Linked DNA regions of Mus musculus: all the other regions are reported to be linked to region 1. Evidence: microRNA targets listed by miRTarBase, many of them from high-throughput screens and not tested one by one. Region 1 holds a microRNA gene; each other region holds the end of a gene's coding sequence.

What was found. The annotated mature microRNA mmu-miR-125a-5p reads UCCCUGAGACCCUUUAACCUGUGA and lies in region 1 at 1,600-1,623, shown strand. An mRNA with a match to its seed (bases 2 to 7 or 8) in the 3' UTR can be bound and repressed. Matches are read on the target gene's strand: a 7mer-m8 pairs with bases 2 to 8, a 7mer-A1 pairs with bases 2 to 7 and ends in A, and an 8mer does both.
Region 2: miRTarBase lists Mgat4a as a target of mmu-miR-125a-5p. Seed matches in the 3' UTR shown: 7mer-A1 at 1,364-1,370.
Region 3: miRTarBase lists Ppp2ca as a target of mmu-miR-125a-5p. Seed matches in the 3' UTR shown: 7mer-A1 at 3,308-3,314.

What each region holds. Positions count from the first base shown.
Region 1 is chr17:17,829,218-17,833,460 of GRCm38, forward strand. Mir125a (microRNA 125a) reads left to right here and starts at 1,595; the gene lies at 1,595-1,662. It overlaps Spaca6 (sperm acrosome associated 6), which reads left to right and starts at 1,758. Exons shown (of 9, transcript NM_001162909.1): 1 at 1,758-2,045; 2 at 2,842-2,922. The coding sequence starts at 1,787. It overlaps Mir99b (microRNA 99b), which reads left to right and starts at 971; the gene lies at 971-1,040. It overlaps Mirlet7e (microRNA let7e), which reads left to right and starts at 1,135; the gene lies at 1,135-1,227.
Region 2 is chr1:37,441,390-37,445,632 of GRCm38, reverse strand. It overlaps Mgat4a (mannoside acetylglucosaminyltransferase 4, isoenzyme A), which reads left to right. Exons shown (of 16, transcript NM_173870.3): 15 at 714-826; 16 at 948-4,243. The coding sequence ends at 974. Among named protein-coding and RNA genes, the nearest start is that of Unc50, 13 kb to the right of the region's middle.
Region 3 is chr11:52,121,488-52,125,730 of GRCm38, reverse strand. It overlaps Ppp2ca (protein phosphatase 2 (formerly 2A), catalytic subunit, alpha isoform), which reads right to left. Exons shown (of 7, transcript NM_019411.4): 7 at 2,982-3,829. The coding sequence ends at 3,757. Among named protein-coding and RNA genes, the nearest start is that of Mir3061, 3.1 kb to the left of the region's middle.

The DNA.
Region 1 (4,243 bases):
AGAGGAAGAGACTTGAGAAGTAGATATAGAAGATAGGAGGTGAGGAAGAGAGGTGAATGTAAAGAGGGTCAGCTAGAACAGAGACAGCGGGAGGAGCAGGCATTCAGATATGGGCGAAGAGGAAAACCTCATCAGGGATGATACAAACAGAGAAAGAAAGGGAGAATAAGAAAAGAGCAAGGTAAGAAAAAATGGGTGGAGAGAAAGAAACAAGAAGACGGACATGGAACCTGGGAGCCCCAGAAGACCAGTTCTGTGCTCAGAGCCTCAGGGTGGGTGCAGGTCCTAGGGCTCCTCCCACCTGCCGACAACTGACTTTGGTCTAGTGGCTTCCCCTCTGGGGGCTCCTGTGTGCTGGGAGCGACCTCATTTCTGAGTTGGGAGGTGTTGAGGAGACAGGGTCCTGGTTGGTGTCATTATTCCTTGACCATAGCTATCACCCCAAAGGTTGAGAATGGTTTTGGAAAAGATAGGATTATTCCATGAGACCCATGAGGACTTCTGATACTCAGAAGGCCTTTAACTCAGGCCTGGGATATGAAACCTTTAGGGGTTACAGAAGGGGCTCAGATTGCCAAGACAAACGGGGATACATCCTTTCTGCAGTGCAGAAGTCAGGTCTCTAACCAGATTGTCTTCTCTAAGGGATGTGCCTGGTTGGACCCTGAGTCTGCCGGGGAGGGCTATGGGGTGGAGGAGAACTGTGAGGGTTAGGGACTGAGTCCCTGGGTCTGGACTGAGGAGAATTGAGTGCAAGGCGGCAGGGTCTGCTTCCCTGGATCTGTGGGAGGGAGGGCTGTGACCACTACCCCTTAGTCTAAGGGAGGAAGCTTTGGGACTGAGGGAGGAGGGCTGAGGTCTGGATCTCTGGCCTTGAAAGAGGGGGGCTGGGGCTTAGATTTTGGGGCTGGGACTGAATTCCTGGGTTCCTTGGGGAGGAGGGGGCCGGGGGCCCGGACTCCTGGGTCCTGGCACCCACCCGTAGAACCGACCTTGCGGGGCCTTCGCCGCACACAAGCTCGTGTCTGTGGGTCCGTGTCGGGGGCTCACCATCGCGGCTGGGACCTCCCCGGCCCTCCCCACCCTCCCTACTTCTGGTCTCCCATCAATCCATCTGTCAATCTGCCCACCTGCCGCGCCCCCCGGGCTGAGGTAGGAGGTTGTATAGTTGAGGAAGACACCCGAGGAGATCACTATACGGCCTCCTAGCTTTCCCCAGGCTGCGCCCTGCACTGGAAGGGGCCGGCGGGGACCCCAGGTCCACACCATTGCCCAAGAGTTCTTGATAGGAGCTGGGGTGTCTTCTCTGTTCACATTCTATCCTATCCCTTTTCTTTGCAGTCTCTATGCCATCTTGAGATTTTCGAATTTTCTGTCTCTGTCTCTTATGCCAATGTCTCTAGGGTTCTAGAAGCTTCTGTTTCTCTAGTGCTGTGAATGTATCTCTGTGACACTGGGTTTCTGAGCTTTTTGAGGCATCTCCTGGTTCCTTTCTATCTTCTGGGGCTTAGGGTATCTGTTTCTGTCTCGCTTCCCCGTTCCCACCTCTGGGGAAAAGGGTTTTTCTGGTCCACCATAGCTACACTGCCGGCCTCTGGGTCCCTGAGACCCTTTAACCTGTGAGGACGTCCAGGGTCACAGGTGAGGTTCTTGGGAGCCTGGCGCCTGGCCCAGCCACAAATTTAGGGATTTCAGGTGACCCCTGGCAACCTTCCTCTAGCTGGAGCCTGATGCTTGACCATCATTTGAAACTCAATCTCTGATCACAGGCTCCCCCTCCCCCACAATGACCTCACAAAGGTCACTATCTTCTCCTCAGACCCGGAGACCCTCTGTTATGGGTCTTATTTCCTTAGTAGGGAGCATTGTCCTGTTGTTCCTGCTGATCTTCAGGGCATCCACGTGGGCCTGTCTCTTCTGCTTCACTACCTATGAGGAACGCCTCCGTGTCTGCCAGCTGTTTGTGGGCAGAGAGGAAACCAAGATAAACCTGTGCAGAAATGAGCTTGAAGGGGCTTTTGAAGATCTCAAAGACATGAAAATCAGTGAGGAGCCCCTCCTTCCTGAACCAGGGCCCTGGGGAGGGGAAGGAGATTCCTTGAGCTACTCCAAGAAGAAAAGCCAAGTACAGGATCATGACATAGACACAGAGAAGAGAGACAGGTGGAAACAATGGAAGGAAACAGGTCCAGAGTGGGGTGGAGACAGACAAAACAGTGCCTCAGAGAGAGTCTAAAGACAGTAAGGGAAAGAGATGGAAAAGTAGAAGCATTGCTCAGAGAGAGGATATGGATTGGGAACACAGATGAGTGGGGAGATTAGAGACCTGGAGAGAGGGACAGAGAGCTAGGAATCAATCCAGAGAGATGAGAGACACACAGAGAGTAAGGTACATAGAGATAAGACAGGAACAGAGTCCCAAAGTGAGGGACATAGGTATAGATACAGAGAGTAGTTTCAGGAAGAATAGAGAGACAGTGATCTAGAGATAGGTGGGACAGAGACCAATGGGGTTGGAGTAAAGATGTAGATGAGGAAGCAGATCCAGGGTACCAGGTAACAGGCCTAGAGAGAGAGAGATTAGATGGATGGAGAGATACCAAGATTGAAGGTTTAGGTTAGGGTTAGGGAAACACACACACACACACACACACACACACACACACACACAGAGAGAGAGAGAGAGAGAGAGAGAGAGAGCTCTAGGTGGGGCACATAGAACAATAGACTGGGGCTATAGAATCTGGGATGATCACAGGGCTTGGAGATATTCAGCCATGAGTGGGACATAGAGAACACCATGGAACCAGGTTTGTGCCATGGTGTCTCATCTACCTTCAGACTATGATGAGAGGAGCTACCTGCATGATGAATTTACACAGATGACAGTTTCTCTTCAGGAGAAGGCTGCTAGACGACGGGGTGAGTGTTTTATGGGCATAAGTGGTGGGGAAAGTCATCTTGAGGAAGTGACCCTGGGAACCTGTCTGAGTTAGGTTATTTGTTGAGGAAACTCCAGAGATGAGGGGAGTCAAAGATGGCAAGGAACTGAGGGAAGTAAATAAGTCACAGGGAGTCTGAAGCTTTTGTGGGGTCAAGTACATGTGACCTATCTGGGATTCTCACTGTCAGGACTCTGAAGCCTGGATGTGTTCCTGCCTCTCAACCTGGGTTCCAACTACTCACCTGTAAGATAGTAAATTTCTTAGGCTCTCAGATTGAGTCATTCTTGTCATCTCTGAAGGTGGGACATTCTCATCTCCTAGGGTGAGACATTCTCTTTATCTCCCAGAGAGGTCGGAGCTCATTGGGAAGGAATGGTTCTTTTTTGAGATAGGTGTTATAGAAGATATGATCCCTTCAAACAAAACACACACACACACACACACACACACACACACACACACACACACATTGCTCATGGCTAGTGAAGATAGGAAGAGTGGAGCTAGCCATTCAGGGGAAGACATAGACATAGTCAGGGCCAGACTCTTCCTGGGACATTAGAGAACACCATACACATGTAGCTGTATGGAGCAGACATAAGGATCTGAGGACATGAATTTCAAAAAGATGTGATTAACACTAATCACACCAGATGCTCCCAACTGCTGGGCACACAGTCTCTTAAGTATATTAGATAGGAGTATTATAGCTATGTGAGAATTCCTTTTTGTTTGTTTATTCAATTAAAGGATAAATTGGCCATTCCCACAATCTGGGAGTTCAAGGCTTTTTTTTTTTTTTTTTTTTTCCTCAACTACAATGGTTCATTTTGTTCCCACTAAGTTTTATATCAGAGGCCCCCCCAAACAAAGAAAGGGACCATTTATTCAGGAGTGTCCAGGACTATCCAGAATTTTCTGTGTGTCCAAAGAAAAATCAGAGGAACCTGAGAGATGGAAGGAATGTAGAATGCTGGGATATGGATACTGTTGTTGACTGGACATGTCTCCATATTGAAAACTTGGAAAAATAGACCAAGGGTAGCTTTTGGGAGTAGGAGAGCTCTTTCTAATGTGAGACAGATTTGGGGGCAGGTGAAGGTTCTGGTTAGAGAGGAGGGGGTCTGATGCAGATCTGAGGCCATAGTGAAGAGGAGTACAACTGTCTCTAGATCATGCTCCTGTGGAGTACTACTGTCTCTAGATCATGCTCTTGTGGAGTACAACTGTCTCTAGATCATGCTCTTGTGGAGTACAACTGTCTCTAGATCATGCTCCTGTGGAGTACAACTGTCTCT
Region 2 (4,243 bases), not on the chromosome of region 1:
TCTGAACCACTGAGCCATGTCCTGAGCCCATTGGGGTAGTTCTGATTTGTGTTTTCCTGGTGCCTAAGGAATATCGAGTTGGATATTTTTCTGTGTATTTATTGGCCAATTGTACTTACTCTGTTCAACTTACCTTCATTAATTGGGTTATTTGATTTTTTTTTCGGGGGGTGATTGTTTGTTTTCTGTACATATTCTGGATAACAATGACCTGGCACATGACTTAGCTTCTCATTTTTATTGGAGTAGTCTATGGGAATTGTCTGGAACAGGCAACACATCGAAATTTTTCTCAATGGAGCCTTGGAAAGATACACATGGGCAGAGCCCCTGCCCAGGCTGATCCCTGATGTCTGAAACGGGGAGGCTCTTTATGACCAGCTGAGCTTCCAGGAGGCAGGCTGAGCGCTCTTAGAAAATGGATTTTGATCAGGTTTGAGTAGAGTGCCAGTTTGCGGACATCTGCAACAGTTTTATACTGTTGATGTCACCATGCTTTGAGTTTACAGTGGGCAGAAGTGTGCTCCTGCTTTGGACAGGTTGCGTCTAAGGTCTTTCAGAGTACATCAGCTCATGGAACTTTGAAAGCTGAGTAAAAACAGATTAAAAGACACGCATGGATTTCCCGTCTACCAAATACTTTGACTTTGGTGGCACTTCATGCATGACCCTCCAACAGTTCTTACACAACAAAAATATTTTCTGTCTTGAAGGAAAATTTGAGTATGGTGTTGCAGAGGGAATTGTGGATCCTGGTCTAAACCCTATTTCAGCCTTTCGACTTTCCGTTATTCAGAACTCAGCTGTTTGGGCCATTCTTAATGAGGTAAGAGTACATTCAGCCAGCAAAGCCGCCTAGCTGCTTCGTTTTTTGATTTTGCAAATGAAGACTTCTTGGAATTGTGAATTAACTGCTTTATCATATCTTATATTTTTTTGTATTTCAGATTCATATTAAAAAAGTCACCAGTTGATCTGCTTAGAAACCAACACGTCCTTTCTTATGACTCTTGATTAAAGATAATTAGCGCGTCCTCTTCTGTTTGGACTTGAACACTACCTCTCTTGAAGCCACTGTAGATGAGATGATTGTTGCCTCCACGCGGACAGGGACTCTTCCCATGGATAACTGCATTCATTTGAAGCTAAGCTGTCCTCCAATTTGAACTTGACACAAACGTTTTACAATCCTGACAGCCTGTTAACATGACTGAGACTATTTTGGTATTATACTAATACACAAGAGTTGTACATATTGTTACATTCCTTAAAATTTGAGAAAACTGATGTTAAATACATTTTGTGAAGGGGGTACTTTTGAACTTCACTTATTTTACTATTATAGACCCTCTTTTATAGACGATCAGGGATATTACATATATATATATACATATATATATATATATATATATAAATATATAAATACACATGAAGATGTTATGAAGTTAATTTATTAGAAGCACTTAAGAAGTACATATTTTTGTGCAGTAAAGTTTTGAATCAACACCTTTTTTTGAAGAAGCGGTTCCCCGGCTTTTTTTAAGTTCTTTCTATATTTTTATTTGGAGATGCCGACATTATAGATCAACGCCATTTTTTCCAGTGCACTGCCATTCCAGATTGGTTCTAGATGGGTTTCTTAACTCGAAGTACTTTTATAATCACAGCAATTCTGAACAAAATATTTTCAGAGGCATTTGTCATTCCTAAAAATCAAGATTTTAAAAGACCAATGTTCTCTCGAGGGTTATATTACTGTACTGTGTATGGTGTGTAGCCACAGAAAACCAGTGTGACTGTCATTGTCCAGGTGGGAAGCCCCTGCCGTGTCTCCACAGACTCCTTTTCCCGTTCATAGTTCCTTTCATGTGGGTGATGAGACTCCCTTCCCTTTTGCTCTGTCTTTAATCAGTAGTTAGACAAACTGTCTCTTTTCTCCCTGGTTGGTCCTTTTCTAGATCTGTGGTAGGTTTTGGAGTTCAGATACTGTTTTCTGAGTAATGCTGTTGGGTGTGTCCTGTTGGGTATGGGACTCGGAGAAAGACGACCGTAGCACTTCTGTTTCCATAGCATGATTTGCTCCGCTGTGTCATGAACGTGGAGGTAAATGCTGTGTCCACAGAGTGTTTGTGCATCCTCACTTTGCAGTCCCAAGTAGCGCTAGTTGGCAGAAGTGCTTTACTCTTATGATTAGGAAGGCCGAGCAACAGTTGCCAGTCTTCTCTGGCTCTCCAGAAACTGCGTGTACAGCAGGTGTGGTGGAGGCCTAGGGCTGTGGGAGGTCCCGGCTGGTAGCCTCCGTCGGGGGCTTTCTTAGTTGCCCAGTGTATGGGACACACAGAACTGAGTGGAAGCCATTTTGTATGTTCTGCCTGGGAAAATGTAGATAAACACTACTGTGCATGTCAAAGCCCAGCTGAAGCTTTTCTTGGTGTTAAGTTTCCCCTCTCATTTCCTTCAGCTTTTTAATAATTAGTACTGCATTTGGCACTTTTCCTATGCCCTGTGCCCACAAATAAATCCCACTATCTTCCCACACTCAAGTGTGCAGCAGCAGGATAACAGACTGTGAAACCATGCAGATGGGCACAGGGGCCCCGTTAGGTCTCTGCTTTCTCAGTGGTTGTGAGTTCAGAAGGCCAAGCCTTGAAACTCCACTGGACCGTGTGAATGTCTCCTGCGTGGGTCTTTGAGCATATCCACTTACAAGGCTCTACTCATCAGTCTTGCCTCTAAGGACTCTTTTAGCCAAGTCCTTTCCTTCATTCAAGGAATTCCCCCTTTCCCCATGAGCTAGTTCCTGGTGCCTGGAACACGCCTGAGCCTTGGCAGGCTCGGTTGGCATCTGGATTAACTAGCCAGGTTGCTCACATCTCTCTCCTAGCGATGTCTGCCTACTATCCTGCCGTGCACGGGCACACACACACTCCGTGTCTAGTCTTCATTGTGTGTGGTGTGTGTTCTCCAATACACTCCAGGCTCTGGAGGCCAGCTCTCCTGTCTTCCATCACATCAGGCGCTCTCCTGCTCCCTCAGTGCCAGTTGCTTCCTCCTCTTGTGCCCAGTTCAGCACTAGACTATTGGAAACAGATGTTTCCAATAGATTTTGTGGGAGCCCTGGAGGTTGATGAGGATGAAGACGGGGGAGGTGAAGACAGAGTGCTTAGAACTGTAAAGTGTTCATCCACATTATCCCTTGGAGGCCACCAACCGACTTTCACCCACATAGTGAATAGGAAAAGTGTCAAATGCAGTACTAATTATATCTGTGAAATAGGTCATAGTTGGTATCGGTGGGTATTTCACATAGCCCAGACTCTAGAGCAGTGCTGGCCTCTACAGAAGCCACAAAACACATCTGTTGAAATGAAAAGTTGAGTTGGCAGCCTTTGGAGTGCTCAGTGGCCACATGGCCAGCAGCCACCATATTGGATCCTAGGAATATGGGACATCGACATCACGGTGGGAGGTTCTGCTGGATGTGTAAACATGAGCATTCTAGAAAGGAGTAGTAATGTATCCTGCTGCTGTGGTTAAAAATAGACCTATGGATTCATCGTAGTGCAGGTGAAGGTGTGTGTTTTGGTGGGACAGTCAAGATTACCCGGCTACATGTTAGTGTCATCCTTCTTCCCAGCATGCATTGCTTCGGGATCCTCAAGAGGTACGTTTGAAAAGCATGAGAAGTGAATGCGGATGGATGGTTTCGCTTGTAGGTTAGACGTGTGTTATGTCCATCAGAGTGTGTTTGAACAAAGGTTCTTGAAATCATTGGTTCTTGAAATCATTGGTAAAAAGATTAGGTGTGCTTATCTCAAAAGCTATCAGGAAAGTTGGGAGACTAGACTTCTTTTTAAGTCTTTCATAATTACGAGAACTACAGTTCTCAACAGTGCTGTCCCTCAAGGAAAAGTTGGCTTATGTGCAAAGTGTTGTTGTTGGCAAAGGTTGTTCTAGTTAATAAGTGTGTATCTGTCACATGCAGGATTCTAAGAACGACCCCTCATGACCTTGTATAATATCCTCCCCTTCTGAGTGTATCGAGAACTGTGACCACATCTGTGGGTGATTGGCCCAATCTTGAGAGCCATGTCAGGCTGGCAGAAGTGAGAGACATCAGCAGCAGAACTCTAAACAGCATCGCTGGTCTAAGTGGAAGGGGCTCCCCTAAATGACTGCAGGTCACCTGCCTTAAGGAGCCAGAGGCTCTGTTACCCACCAAGTGGGACCTGCAGACCTTTTG
Region 3 (4,243 bases), not on the chromosome of region 1:
AATTCCAGCAACTGGGAGGCAGAAGGAAGTTCAAGGCCAGCCTGGTCTATATTGTTTCAGGACAGCCAGAGCTACATTGTGAGACTCCGTCTCAAAAAGATAAAAGACTGCTTCACCATGTATCCTGGATTGGCCTGGAACTCAGAGATCCATTTACCTGCCTCTGCCTCCCAAGTGCTGATATCATAGATGTGAGTCACCATGCCCCACCCAGCAGTGTTCTTAACCCTAGACATACTATGCTCCTAATAATTCAAAGTAAAATATGTGGGCATCAAGATTGAATACCACAGAATTAACTGCGGCTCTTCCAGAGGTTGGATTTGGTCTTTAAGCACTCACACCAGCAGCTCACAACTCTGAAGCTCCAGAGGACCTAGAGGCCTCTGTTAGCACCACACACATAAACAAAACAGTAAGTCAAGAAAGGGAGACACTGTGCATTTGTAATGAAGAAAGGCAAACCGTCTCCCAATGGTCACTGAACATTTCAAGAGGCTCAGATGTGCCATTACACAGGCAGGTGGCAACCACACCACCACACTTTTGTTTCATTTCAAATAGCTACAAGGACCATTATGATAAATGCTTGAGGCATACATAGCCCGACTTGACACAATGTACAAATCTCAAAACATCACCTGGAAACCTTAGATAGTACATTGTTTTTGTTTTACTAAAACCATTATACATATCTTCTTCAAGTACTCAAACCCAACAGTAAGCTTTATAAATTGTTTCAAAGCAACCTTTTAATAAAAAAATAATAATTTATGTGCACATGAATACTGATGTCCAAGGAGACCAGAGGTGGATGTGGGTCCTCTTGAAGAGCAGTGTGTGTTCTTAACTCTGGCTCCACTCGCCAGCCCCTAAATTATCTTTTTTGAAACATCTGTGTGTGTGCATACATCACCATTTGTGCATGGAGGCCAGAGGACAACTTGCAGGAGTTGGTTTTCTCCTTCCACCACGTAGATCCCATGGACTGAGCTTGAGTCTTCAGGGTGGCTGCTAAGTGACTATGCCTTTACCAGCTGAGTCACCTTACCATATCCAAAGTACACTTCCCTGTTGAATACTCACTCTTAGGCACCGAGATCCACTATCTGCCTCCACAATGCTGGGTGACACATGTGTCATTATATACAACTTTTAGAGATGGAACCCAGGGCACAGTACATGTGCTAGGCAAGTGCTCTACCAATGAACTACATTTGTAGCCATTAACACGTCTTTTAAAAAGACTGATCTTTATTTTTTGTTTGAGTGGTTTGCCTGCAGGCATGTACACCACATGTGTGTCTGATGCCGTGGAGACCAGAAGAGAGTATCAGGGCCTCTGGAGTCGAAGTTATAGGCAGCTGGGGGCTACAAGATTGACTGCTAAGCACCTGTCCAGACTTCTTGACAACACCCATTTTTGATAATTCTTTGCTCTTAATCAAAAGACTTAAAAAATTATGGCAATCTCATTATAGTGCCCATTAAAATTCTCTCATTTGAGTGATTCCCTTCCAACTATCATTTGATTTTTTTGAAGAAATTATTAAACTCACACATTTTCACTAATTTTACATCAGGTTAAAGTATTAACATTTTCAAATTTCAAGAGAAGCCTAGTAATTGCCTCTGAATGCTTTTAAGACCACTCACTCTTTGACACAAGCCCCATTCTGAGAATCTGTATGTACATGACATGTGTCAACTATAGGAAAGACTCCATTAGAGCCCTCTTTATCGTCAGGATCCCCAGTGCAGCTGCTTGGTGTCTACCTCCCTCAAGTGTTGGATCAGAAGTGCTGTACATTAAGTCAGGCATGGTGGCATATATAGGCAGTATCATCCATGAGTTCTAGGACAGCTTGGCCTATATAGCAAGATCCCAGCCACTCAGGGCAACAGAAAGACTCTGTTGCCCTGCCCTTACCACAACCCACCCTAACAAAACAAAACAGTGCTGTATATAGATGTTACTTGTTTGGCCAGGAAGAAAAGACGAAGTAGCACAAATAACAGGCTGGAGAATGTGTTTCTTCGAACTCAGAATAAAAAGAAGACACCTAGAAAAACTAAGGTTTTTTGAGACAGGGTTTCTCTGTGTAGCCCTGGCTGTCCTGGAACTCACTCTGTAGACCAGGCTGGCCTCAAACTCAGAAATGCGCCTGCCTCTGCCTCCCAAGTGCTGGGATTAAAGGTGTGCGCCACCAGTACCTGGCCTAGGGTTTTTTTTGATTTAGAAAATTAACTCACAAACTGGCTTGTTTTTTTTTTTTTTTTTTTTTTTTTTATACAGGGCAATACTGTAACTTCACTGTTGGTTCCAAATTCAACACAGTACAAAGCAAGGAAACATTTATTTACTACACTCACACAGTAATGATCAAGCATCCTCATGTTTGCCCAGATAGCTTAAAATAGCAAATATTCAGTCCCCACAAGAAGAACTGTCTTCGGTTTTAAGCCAAGTCAAAGAATAGAAGGGAAACCCATTACTCGCTGAGCTTGGCACTCAGGCACCATTCTCGGACCTGGCGCAAACATCAGCCCACATCAGCATTGCTTCTACTCGGCTTCACTGCTTTACCAGGTAAGGAACACAAGCTAAGGTTCTAACACCTTATCCAGACAAGTTTAACTAACTCTAAGATCACATGACTTGACAAGAAATATACAAATGTTGGTTAAGAACTTACCGTTCTGTCAATCATTTTAAAGAGTCCATGAAATATACATAGCAATATATTTGTAACCAGAAACTACACTAATTAGACACATCATTTAGTTTGTTAAGTTCTACCTGAAAACATGCCATTTTAAGTAAAATCCTAAAAACATAACTCTCAAGTTCTATGGTTTAACAACCAAGTCCCACTAAAACAGCACAGATTTCCTTTCACAAGCGCAGGCCAGCAACAAGACAAACTGCGGTATGTCAGACAAACAGGTCCCCAAGTTCTTCTGAAGAACACCAAGGAGTTGCCAGAGAGGTTACACAGTGGCCTTGATCTTTATTTTTCTTTACCTGGGATTCTACAAATTCTGAAATTGATCAATAGATTTATCTTGTTAATAAACAGCACCAGTCGTGCCCACTGATACAATTCAAACCTGACTTTCTCAGTTCTCAAGTTTATTATGAAAACACTGCGGTGACTTGTGCAGTAACATCATCTTACAGGAGGGAAACAGTTCTGTTCAAAACAACTCACCAGGTTTTCTGACAGTAACAAAGAACAACGCGGGGCTGAGATTTGAGAAGGGGAGAAACTGAGTGCAGACAAATCATACAATTAAATTAATGGTATCCCTGAAAGAAACACAACAAGAGGGGAGGCCTTGGTACTTATTTAAAAATGTTCATTAAGCTCCAATGATTGTTTGCTATCCTCATCTACAGTCATGCTGAGTAAGCTACAGCTAAGTGAAGTCAACTGGACTCACGGGTGTTAATGTTTAATCCTATATCTGCAGTCTCTCAAGAAAGCAAAAGTAACTACAAATAGCGCTATGCCAGAAACTGGATTCTTGACCAACAATGTCGCGTCAGCATGCAATGAACTGGTTCATTCTAAAGTGGTCACGGCTGTTGATGACAAGAGGCTTTGTATTTTATATGGCACATCTTTTGGTCCGTGTGAAAACAAGTTTTTGAATGTTAACTATTTTCTGACACTTTGGAGTTACTGTTGCTCTTCCCATTTCCATTAGGTCAATATACGGTTCATGGCAATACTGTACAAGTTTACATTTTCATTACAGGAAGTAGTCTGGGGTACGACGAGTGACATGTGGCTCGCCTCTACGAGGTGCTGGGTCAAACTGCAAGCTGAAAAACAAGGAAGACTCAGTGTTACTACTCCAGAAGATACCATGTAGTTAACAAAACTAACATCTTCCAAATTTTCAAATTTTCTTCCCCATCCAACTTCAGTACATTTTAAAAGAATAGAACCCAACTTTAATAGACCTAGGTATATTGGGGCACAGCTCTAACATTACCACTTGGGAAACTGAGGCAAGAAAATCACAGTTCTAGACCAGCTTGGGCTACAAACACATGGTTAGTTTTAGCTGTTAACCAGACACAAGAGAACCATTACCTGGGAACAGTTCTAACTGAGGACTAGACTTATATAAATCAGGTTGACCTGTGAGCATGTCTGTGGAAGACCATCTTAATTGATGTAAGAACACCACGCCCACCGTGGCTGTTACCATTCCCTAGGCAGAGAGCCTTCAT